Linked DNA regions of Arabidopsis thaliana. The protein of the gene in region 1 interacts with the protein of each later gene in a biochemical or structural test. Each region holds a gene or a part of one and is shown in the gene's direction. Other genes may lie near its edges.

What was found.
Region 2: the proteins of RAP2.2 (region 1) and SINAT2 form a complex in vitro, tested with the Arabidopsis thaliana proteins (one study listed by BioGRID).

Annotation. Positions count from the first base shown.
Region 1 is NC_003074.8:4,736,393-4,740,922, reverse strand, and holds RAP2.2 (uncharacterized protein), read left to right. Parts: upstream 1-1,786; 5' UTR 1,787-1,922; coding exon 1,923-2,223; intron 2,224-2,468; coding exon 2,469-3,307; 3' UTR 3,308-3,348; intron 3,349-3,450; 3' UTR 3,451-3,777; downstream 3,778-4,530.
Region 2 is NC_003074.8:21,486,760-21,492,245, forward strand, and holds SINAT2 (uncharacterized protein), read left to right. Parts: upstream 1-1,702; 5' UTR 1,703-1,936; exon of another isoform or gene 1,937-2,331; intron 2,332-2,761; 5' UTR 2,762-2,852; coding exon 2,853-3,071; intron 3,072-3,152; coding exon 3,153-3,539; coding exon of another isoform or gene 3,540-3,593; exon of another isoform or gene 3,594-4,005; coding exon 4,006-4,326; 3' UTR 4,327-4,759; downstream 4,760-5,486. Other genes in the region: AT3G58030 (RING/U-box superfamily protein), read left to right, coding at 1-78. UniProt on the Arabidopsis thaliana protein: E3 ubiquitin-protein ligase that mediates ubiquitination and subsequent proteasomal degradation of target proteins.

The DNA of each region.
Region 1 (4,530 bases):
GGCAGACAACCAGATTAGGAGTTAAATAAAGCCTTTAGATTTGAGAGATTGAAATATTCGATTGGAACCTTTCTAGATTTTTACAGCCATCTAAAATTAGATGCAGATCACCTACTACCATTCAAAAATGAACAAAATAATTTCATTTACATTTTCCTAGCATAAGATATAATAATAAAATAGTGCTCATTTTAATTACTTTTTCTAAATATTTTCGTTATTTTAAATTTTGCTTGTCTATACTCTACAGCTCATTTAATAACGGAAACAAAAATAATTGCAGGGATACGGATGGGTAGCTTTCAAAACTTACATCATCTTCTGTTTCTTGAGATCAACTATTTTTGGAGCTTTGTCTCAATCGTACCAAAGGATAATGGTCCTACCTCCTTTTGCATTCTTAACTTTATCTTCTCTACTTATTTCTTTTTTGGGATTTTTGGGGGTATTATTTTATCTTTTGTAGATATACACATTGATTTACTACAAACGTATACTACTATCCATCTTCAACTCTTCGGAATATGATTTCGAAAAAACTATGAAGATTAACGGGTATCTTAAACATGTTAAGATACACCGGACAATTTTCATTTAGAAGAATTGATATGCAATTAACAATAAATAGTTGATGATCTTTTAGTTTTGAAGATGTGCGTTAAGACTTAAGCGTGTGGTAACAAGGTGGGACTCGGGCAACGCAAAGCCTTGTAGAGTCCACTTGCTCAACTTGTCTTTCTTTTATCTCTTTTCCAAGTCTCAAGATTCAATGAACTCCGTGTAACACAAACACGCCCATAGATGAGCTCATTTTTGGTATTTCCAATATTGCCACTCCATGATAATATCATCTAGGGATGGGGTTCATTTATTTTGAAATCTCAACAAATCTCGTCGATTCTAACACACATGATTGATTTGTTTACTTACTTGAAAGTTGGCAACTATCTGGGATTAAAATTTATCTTTTTCTACTGCTAGCTAGAAGCATCTATATATGTTAGCCTAATACGTGGAAGATGTCATTGCTAATAATGGCTAAAGATGTGTATTAATTTTTCTTCTTTTTTCCTTGAATTTTTGTTCTTTGACATAAACTATGCTGTCAAAATGTGTAGAATCTTTTTACATAAATCATTCCCTGTTACACACTAAAAGGTTCACAACGGACGATTGTATTGGACTTCCAGATCATAAACCATGCAAAACTGAAAACCACAAGAATAATTAGTTCTAACTTTAGAACGTTCGTACGTGTTTCATGTTCAAAAAGCGTCAATTATAAAAGTTGGGAAATTACTTTTGAGTTTTGACATTTCTAAGGACAGTCAAATATGACAACATTGGGATGCAACTTACCTTGTATTAACTTATTTTGTTATAAAACCATATATTACATATTTTAAAGGGTTGATAAATAATCAAATATACCAAAACATAGCTTTTCAATATATTTGTAAAACACGTTTGGTCTACTAGCTAATTATGAGAACATTTGTTCAATGCATGATTATCTAGTATCTACTAGTGGATTATGAAAATTAGATATTTTCATTGCATGATTATCTTCCATATATAGTGATAACATCAAAAGAATCTACACCAATTATTGCATTTTTTCATTATATAATAAGCACTAAACTGTAAAATTATATTCAGCCACCCAAACCATGACAAATCACCTTAAAGGCTTAAACACATAACAGCCATTACGAGTCACAGGTAAGGGTATAATAGTAAAGAATCAATCTATATAATATACGACCCACCCTTTCTCATTCTTTCTGGAGAGTAACATCGAGACAAAGAAGAAAAACTAAAAAAGAGAACCCCAAAGAATCGAATATTTATTATTTCGCCCCGAAGATTCTATTTCTGATCATTTACACCCCTAAAAAGAGTAGAGCTTTCGTGAAGCCACCATGTGTGGAGGAGCTATAATCTCCGATTTCATACCTCCGCCGAGGTCCCTCCGCGTCACTAACGAGTTTATCTGGCCGGATCTGAAAAACAAAGTGAAAGCTTCAAAGAAGAGATCGAATAAGCGATCCGATTTCTTCGATCTTGACGATGATTTCGAAGCTGATTTCCAAGGGTTTAAGGATGACTCGGCTTTTGACTGCGAAGACGATGATGATGTCTTCGTCAATGTTAAGCCTTTCGTCTTCACCGCAACTACTAAGCCCGTAGCTTCCGCTTTCGTCTCCACTGGTATATATTTGGGTTTGATTCGAATCTCAACTTTTATTTGAATTGGAAAGCTCATGAAATTTTTAGATCTTTAGGTTTTCAGAGGCTTTTCTTAGTTTATAGCTTAGTCTTTGGAATTGGTTGATCTCACTGGTCTTGTAACCATCTGCTGTTACTATGTTGATTATATACCAGCTTACCGTCCTTAGCTCCTGAAGGGATGCAGTTTTGTTTGTTCTATTCAGCTTATGATTGATATTGTGTGTGTTTGGCTACAGTAGGTTCAGCATATGCCAAGAAAACTGTAGAGTCCGCTGAGCAAGCTGAGAAATCTTCTAAGAGGAAGAGGAAGAATCAATACCGAGGGATTAGGCAGCGTCCTTGGGGAAAATGGGCTGCGGAGATCCGTGATCCGAGAAAAGGCTCCCGAGAATGGCTTGGAACATTCGACACTGCTGAGGAAGCAGCAAGAGCTTATGATGCTGCAGCACGCAGAATCCGTGGCACGAAAGCTAAGGTGAATTTTCCCGAGGAGAAGAACCCTAGCGTCGTATCCCAGAAACGTCCTAGTGCTAAGACTAATAATCTTCAGAAATCAGTGGCTAAACCAAACAAAAGCGTAACTTTGGTTCAGCAGCCAACACATCTGAGTCAGCAGTACTGCAACAACTCCTTTGACAACTCTTTTGGTGATATGAGTTTCATGGAAGAGAAGCCTCAGATGTACAACAATCAGTTTGGGTTAACAAACTCGTTCGATGCTGGAGGTAACAATGGATACCAGTATTTCAGTTCCGATCAGGGCAGTAACTCCTTCGACTGTTCTGAGTTCGGGTGGAGTGATCACGGCCCTAAAACACCCGAGATCTCTTCAATGCTTGTCAATAACAACGAAGCATCATTTGTTGAAGAAACCAATGCAGCCAAGAAGCTCAAACCAAACTCTGATGAGTCAGACGATCTGATGGCATACCTTGACAACGCCTTGTGGGACACCCCACTAGAAGTGGAAGCCATGCTTGGCGCAGATGCTGGTGCTGTGACTCAGGAAGAGGAAAACCCAGTGGAGCTATGGAGCTTAGATGAGATCAATTTCATGCTGGAAGGAGACTTTTGAAGTGATCGATGGTTCCTTAGTTTGTAAATAAAGCTGTGTTGGTGAGTTACAGTTACAAGCTCTTCTTGTTGAATCGTAAAGACAAACAACCTAAGTGTTGGTTTCAGGATTAATCTTCTGTCGTTCTTTTTTGGTTGTTTCAGGATTTTGCTGTTGGGGGATGGTACAAGTCACACCTCAAGCTCTATGCATTGGTATCTCATGAGCCTCTCTTCCATAGAGAGTTTCTCTTTTAATTTTGTCGAAATAAAAAAGGTGTGATGAAGTAAATAGAGGTATAATAATATCTATCTATTAAGTCTTGTTTTGTTCTTTCATTTTTGTATTTCTTTTCTATTTAAAAGACAGTTTATTAGTCTTCTGAGCTCTCTTTTTGATCTTTGTTATAGCGTATCATCACCCTCGAAAGTGTAATGTTTTGTACCCCCAAACTTGTTTAGCATTATAATAAAGTCTCTTTGGAACTTCTCTATCTGTTCAATGAATCTTCTCTGCCTAACTTTGCTTGATTGATTTTGAGAAATATGCCTTATTTATTCATTAGTTTTGAATAATTCAAACAACTTTCACTTTAAAAGCAATTAGAAAGATTCTTCGTACACCTCGAAAACAATAGATTTAAAAAAGCTTCAGGAAACAAGACCGAACCAGACAAAGAACGTGCCTGGTAATAAGGAAAAATGAGACAGAATTGAGTTTTGTCCTGTAAACTTTCTCGTGAACCATTTGATGAAAATACAAAAATAATAATACACCCACATGGCCACATTGCTTACAAGAAAATATTGGAAATCATCAAAATGATTCTGTAGGGTAACTAAAGGCTTAAGGCTGTCTAGATGAAGATTCATTGTTCAATCAACGAGTTTGCGACTAATTCTTTTCCCAAGTACACCGTGAAATTCCCATTATCATAAGACAACATTTTACTATGGATAACAGAGAAACCAAAACTAGTTTTCCAATCTATGACACTATGACAGTCTGAGTCGTCACCGTAATCACTTGTTTTGGAAGTAAGTTATTTTACTTTAAAAAAAAAAAAAAAGAGTATACTGAGTTATGAGCTATCTAATTTCATATCTGTGTTATTAAAAGCCCATTTCAGCTAGAATAATTCTTGTTGCTCTACAGTCGTGGATAATGAAAGCCCACTCGACATCCACAATTATTTTCTTCGTAACTAAACGTTGAATTTTCCATTTACTTGACAAATCCAACGT
Region 2 (5,486 bases), about 17 Mb from region 1:
AGGAATGAGAATGGTTCGAGGGTTTCTGATGTAGACAGTGCAGATTCTCGTCCGCCTAGGAGAAGGAGATTTACTTGAGAAACATAAATAAGAAAAGCTTTCAACCTGGAAGCTGACGATGATGATGATTAAGAAGAAGATAAGAAGAAGATTGTGTAACTTTATTTTTCTTGTGTTGCTTTGTTGTAATTTGTTTTTGTATTTTTCTCGATAGGGATGGTTTTTTTTAATCGAAAATTTTCTTTCATCTTTTTTTTCTTCTGACGGTAAAATATCATAAACCTTTGAATCCAATATGGAATGTGTTCTTGATAACTATTCTTATAAAACAACAAACTTGAAAATTTTAATCGATTTCCAAATGATAATTAGATAGCTTGAAATTTTGTTGGATTTGAAAATCAGTAAGAAAATGTAGAATAAACTATTAACCTTTTTAAAACAAAACTTTTAGGCAAAATGCTAATTTTATTATTAAGTAACATGGTGTGTTTTTTCAACTTTGTAGACTAAAGCAAGTTAGTATATAAATCAGTTATGAAGCAACGTAACAATAAGACACTTTGGCCGAGTGGTTAAGGCGTTTGCCTGCTAAGTAAATGGGGTTTCCCCGCGAGAGTTCGAATCTCTCAGGTGTCGTATTATTTTTATTTTCTTTTCCTTGTCCCCTAACTTTTTTTTTTGACAGATTTGTTTAGAAACGATGATTATATGGTCGTAGAAAAATCCAATTTTTTTTTGAGAGTACATGTCACATGCGCACAGCGACATCCGACACGTCTATTATTTTCTGTTGAATCATCTCACTTCATATGGTTTTCTTCAACAATTATTTCACTTCTGATTACAACAAAAAAACTTATTTTTATACTATCATATGATATTTTCTTGGCAATATAAAAAAAAAAAACACCGCAAAAATACATTCACACGAGGGGAGACAAAAAATAAATAAGAACCCCCACAAAAACAGACATCTTCCACCATTTTCAGGCTTTCATCATTTATTAAATTATAAAGTTTCTTGGATTCTTGTTAACTTAAATATAAGCTGCCAAATATATATCAGCTTACACTTATAATGGTCCTGTTTTAATTGAATTTAACCTTAAATCTCATTGGAAAGTGATTGACAAAATTCAAAAAAATTATGAGGAAAAATGAAAATTTGAAAAGTGAAAATAAAATAAAAATAAAAACTCAAATGATGTGTGCGGGAAACGAGCGACGTCGCGTTATTCGATGCACGAACTCGAGCCAATAAGATGTTTTTAAATCTAAAAATGGCTATTAGATTCGTCATTACTTTTGTATTTTTCCACAATTTAAATTGACTTTTGCCGGAGATGTAACTTTTAAACTATTTTACTACTTCTTTTTGTTTTTACTCATAAAGATCACAAAGATTCACTCACAAGCGTATGTATATCTGAAGCAATTAAAAATGAGAAAATATTTGTCCTTTTACAGTTTTTGTTTTTCTTCTCTGTTACAAAAATGTAATTACATCTGAAAACAATACTAGAAAAAAGAAAGTAATCGAGCGTTGTAACGCACCATAATGGAGAAAATAGTAATACAATTATGAAGATAGTACAAAATCTCAGATGAAAATATAGTAAATAATTGTAATTAAATGAGATAAAATCAATTTCTAAAAAAAAAGTAAAACCACCTTCGTGAATTGTGATTCGGTGTTTTTAAAAAGTGGGGAATAAAGACAAAACAGAGACCACCACCATTAATGGCTTTCTTCACCGATACGAACAAGACAGGACACAACAAACTCAATCCCAGCCTCCTCCTCCTCCGTCTTCTCCCTTATTCCCTTTTCGTTTAATCCCCCAATTTTTTCAATTAATCCCTCCTTTTCTCCTCTTAATCTGAATCCGAAGCAACGCATAATCCATAACAAAGTCTGGAAAATTTCTTCCGGGTAAGAGAAAACTTCTTCTCTTTCTTTTCAATTTGGGGTTTTTTATTTTGAAATCGGGAACAAAAGATCCAGAATTACCTAATTCCGAAATTTATTATCGGGTTGGATTATCGTGTGACGACGAATCTAGCTTGCTTTTTGGGGGGGGAAATATAATTCTCGGAAGGTCAATTTTTTTTTTTGCTTCATTTTGTTGTCTTTGAATCTTTTGGTTTATGAATGGATTGTTTTGAAATTGTTTCATAGGTCAAAGAGACAAAGATATTGTTGAGATTTATGATATTGGGATTTGTATTTTTGAACACCGTTTCTCTATAGATTTCTGCTTTAACCTGATCCTTTTAATTGCAAAATTGTGAAACTTTGCTTGCACGATCTTTGTTTAGCTTTCACAGGTTAGATGCGTTGGTTCTTGTTCTCTAGTTAGATCTATTTTCATGTTTATCTCTGTTTAGTTAGATTGAAAAGAGAATAGGTTTTTGTTTGTTCTCTTGGAATTTTTCTCTTTTGATGTTTGATAGTCCTGTGATTGATTACTGTTTAACTGTTGAAGTCATTGGAATGTGCAAAGGTCTAGCTTTGTTCATAGCTTTAGGCCTATTGCTTTGTTTACCTATCTGAAAGTGCATTTATTGTTTTGCTTCAAATGTTTGATTATTTTATTTTATTCTTTGTTGCTTAAGAAGCTATAAAAAGTAAAAGACTTGATCAGCTGAACCAAGTATCTGCCCCTTAATCTACTTTTTTCCTTCTCAATATATCAACTATATGTATTAGCCTTCTCAATATAAGCTTGTATTGCTAATGATTCCTTTTTTCCTGCAGGATAATAAAGAGATCCATTAGGAGTAAATTATCTGACAAGAGAATACAAAGGGCAATTTCATTTTAGTTGAATTAGGGATTTGGGCTCGTCATGGCTCCTGGAGGCAGTGCTTTGAAAGAAGTCATGGAATCTAATTCAACGGGAATGGATTACGAGGTTAAAACGGCAAAAGTGGAAGTTAATAATAACAAACCTACAAAGCCAGGGAGTGCAGGGATTGGAAAATATGGGATCCATTCGAACAATGGTGTTTACGAGCTTCTTGAATGTCCCGTCTGTACAAATTTAATGTACCCTCCAATTCATCAGGTCAGTAGTATATGAGCTTGAACAGATTTGTAATTGACTAATTGCAATGTTTCATGTTCTAAATGTTATTTAATTCTACAGTGTCCGAATGGCCACACATTATGTTCAAACTGCAAACTGAGAGTGCAGAACACATGCCCTACATGTCGCTACGAGCTTGGTAACATAAGATGCTTAGCTCTTGAGAAAGTTGCAGAGTCTTTGGAAGTTCCATGCCGGTACCAAAATTTGGGGTGTCATGACATTTTCCCTTACTACAGCAAGCTTAAGCACGAGCAGCATTGCAGGTTTAGGCCTTACACTTGCCCTTATGCTGGTTCTGAGTGTTCGGTTACAGGTGATATCCCTACACTTGTCGTTCATCTCAAAGATGATCATAAAGTCGATATGCATGACGGATGCACCTTCAACCACCGTTATGTAAAGTCAAATCCACATGAGGTCGAAAATGCTACATGGATGCTTACGGTAAAACTTTCTTTCGATATGTTTTCTTCTTTTTATCAAAGGTTTCTAATTTAAAGTCTGATTCAGGTTATTTCTTCAGATGAAATTTTTATGCAGGTTGTGATTTTATATCATCATATGACTAAGCTTTTACATTCACCTTCTTTCGCTGTTATCCTCAACCATGAAATATTCCTGGCTTTAGCTCTTTTCTACAAAATACAGATTGGATTCTTTAGAAGGAACTATAGGAATCTCTGGCTCTGCTCTTTTATGCTATTTTTGGATTTCTATTTTGCCTATTAAATTTTGACCTTGAACAATCCGGTGCCAAACTCCCTTACTAGCTGCTATTCCGGTTCCCGCTTTGCTCTTCTTTGTTAGTCCAATTTTACGGTCTCCTTAAGTACCTACCATAGGGTCTCTTAGTCCCACTTTAATCCTCACACTTAAACTTGAATCTCAGTTACTAAAATTTTGTTTCCAGGTGTTCAACTGTTTTGGGAGACAGTTCTGTTTACACTTCGAGGCGTTCCAGCTGGGAATGGCTCCAGTGTACATGGCATTCCTTCGTTTTATGGGAGATGAGAACGAGGCGAAGAAGTTCAGTTACAGCTTGGAAGTAGGAGCTCATGGACGGAAATTAACATGGCAAGGGATCCCTAGAAGCATCCGTGACAGTCACAGGAAAGTCCGGGACAGTCAAGACGGACTCATCATCCCAAGGAACCTCGCACTCTACTTCTCTGGAGGTGATAGGCAAGAACTCAAGTTGAGAGTGACTGGACGAATCTGGAAAGAGGAGTAAACGAAAAACGAAAAACGAAGAAAAGAAGGAATCGATTGAAAAATGTTGTACATAAGAAGAAGCCTCGTGGAAGAGCTAATGATCATATGGAAGATTTGAAGTTTGTTGTCTGGTTTTAGTGTGGTATAATGGATTCTTCTCCAATGGGAATGAAGATGAGATGATGATAATGACAAATCTTCTATGATGAATCAGTTTGGAGGAGCCATTGTTACTATTTTGTGGCTGCAAGAACTATATTATCTCTGTATTTTTTGTTTTTTTTGTTGGGATTTCTTTTGTGGTTTCAGAGAATGTAGGAAAAAGTAAGACATGGTTTTGGCTATGTTCTTGTTGTAAAACCAAGTTCAAAACAGATTGGTGCACTTTTTATCTTTTCACAATGGTGATTTTCATTCAGTTTAGACTTGATATAGCAAGCTCGATGTTTAGGCATTACAGCATGATGACAACACGACAACACCTTACCCACATAGACACACTTTTACTCATTTGAGGAAAGGTAACTAACAAATATGAAAACCAAGCAAAATTTTCTATATCTACAACGTAAATATCTTTTCCTTTTGTTTTTCGTTTTTGTTGAATCAACTCTTTTTTCTATTGCAAAGTTTGATATTTTGATTCTCCATTTGTTATTCACCTGTTCATTCTCTTTTTGGTGCACGATCTCTTGGCTCTCAGAGTTTGTAGTTAGTCGTAGTTGTGCAATCATAGTAAGTGGTCTCATCATATCTTGTTGCAGAGAGAATTTAGACTTTGTGTTCTTCTTCTTAATGTTTTTGACTTTGTGTATGATTTTGTCTGGTGTATATATAGTTACTAAAACTCGTACGAATAGTTTCTTTTTCACATTGTGTTTCTTGTATGTCGCCATACAAAGCTAGATATCTCTTTCCCTGCAGAATAATACAGAGCACACGGAGACGGAGTACATATTGTTCAGCGCAAGTGAAACCTGGATTTGAACCTGATACATAAATTTGTTATCGTTTGGTCATTTTAACCGCTCCCTCTAATATTTACCTCCTTTTTATAAGTTACACATCTTTTACATATCTCTCTCTCTCTCTCTCTCTCTCTCTCTCTCTCTCTCTTTCTTTCTAGAATATATTGACGCAGCCGCGAATCTCATCGTCATCGTCATCGACCAAGAGGAA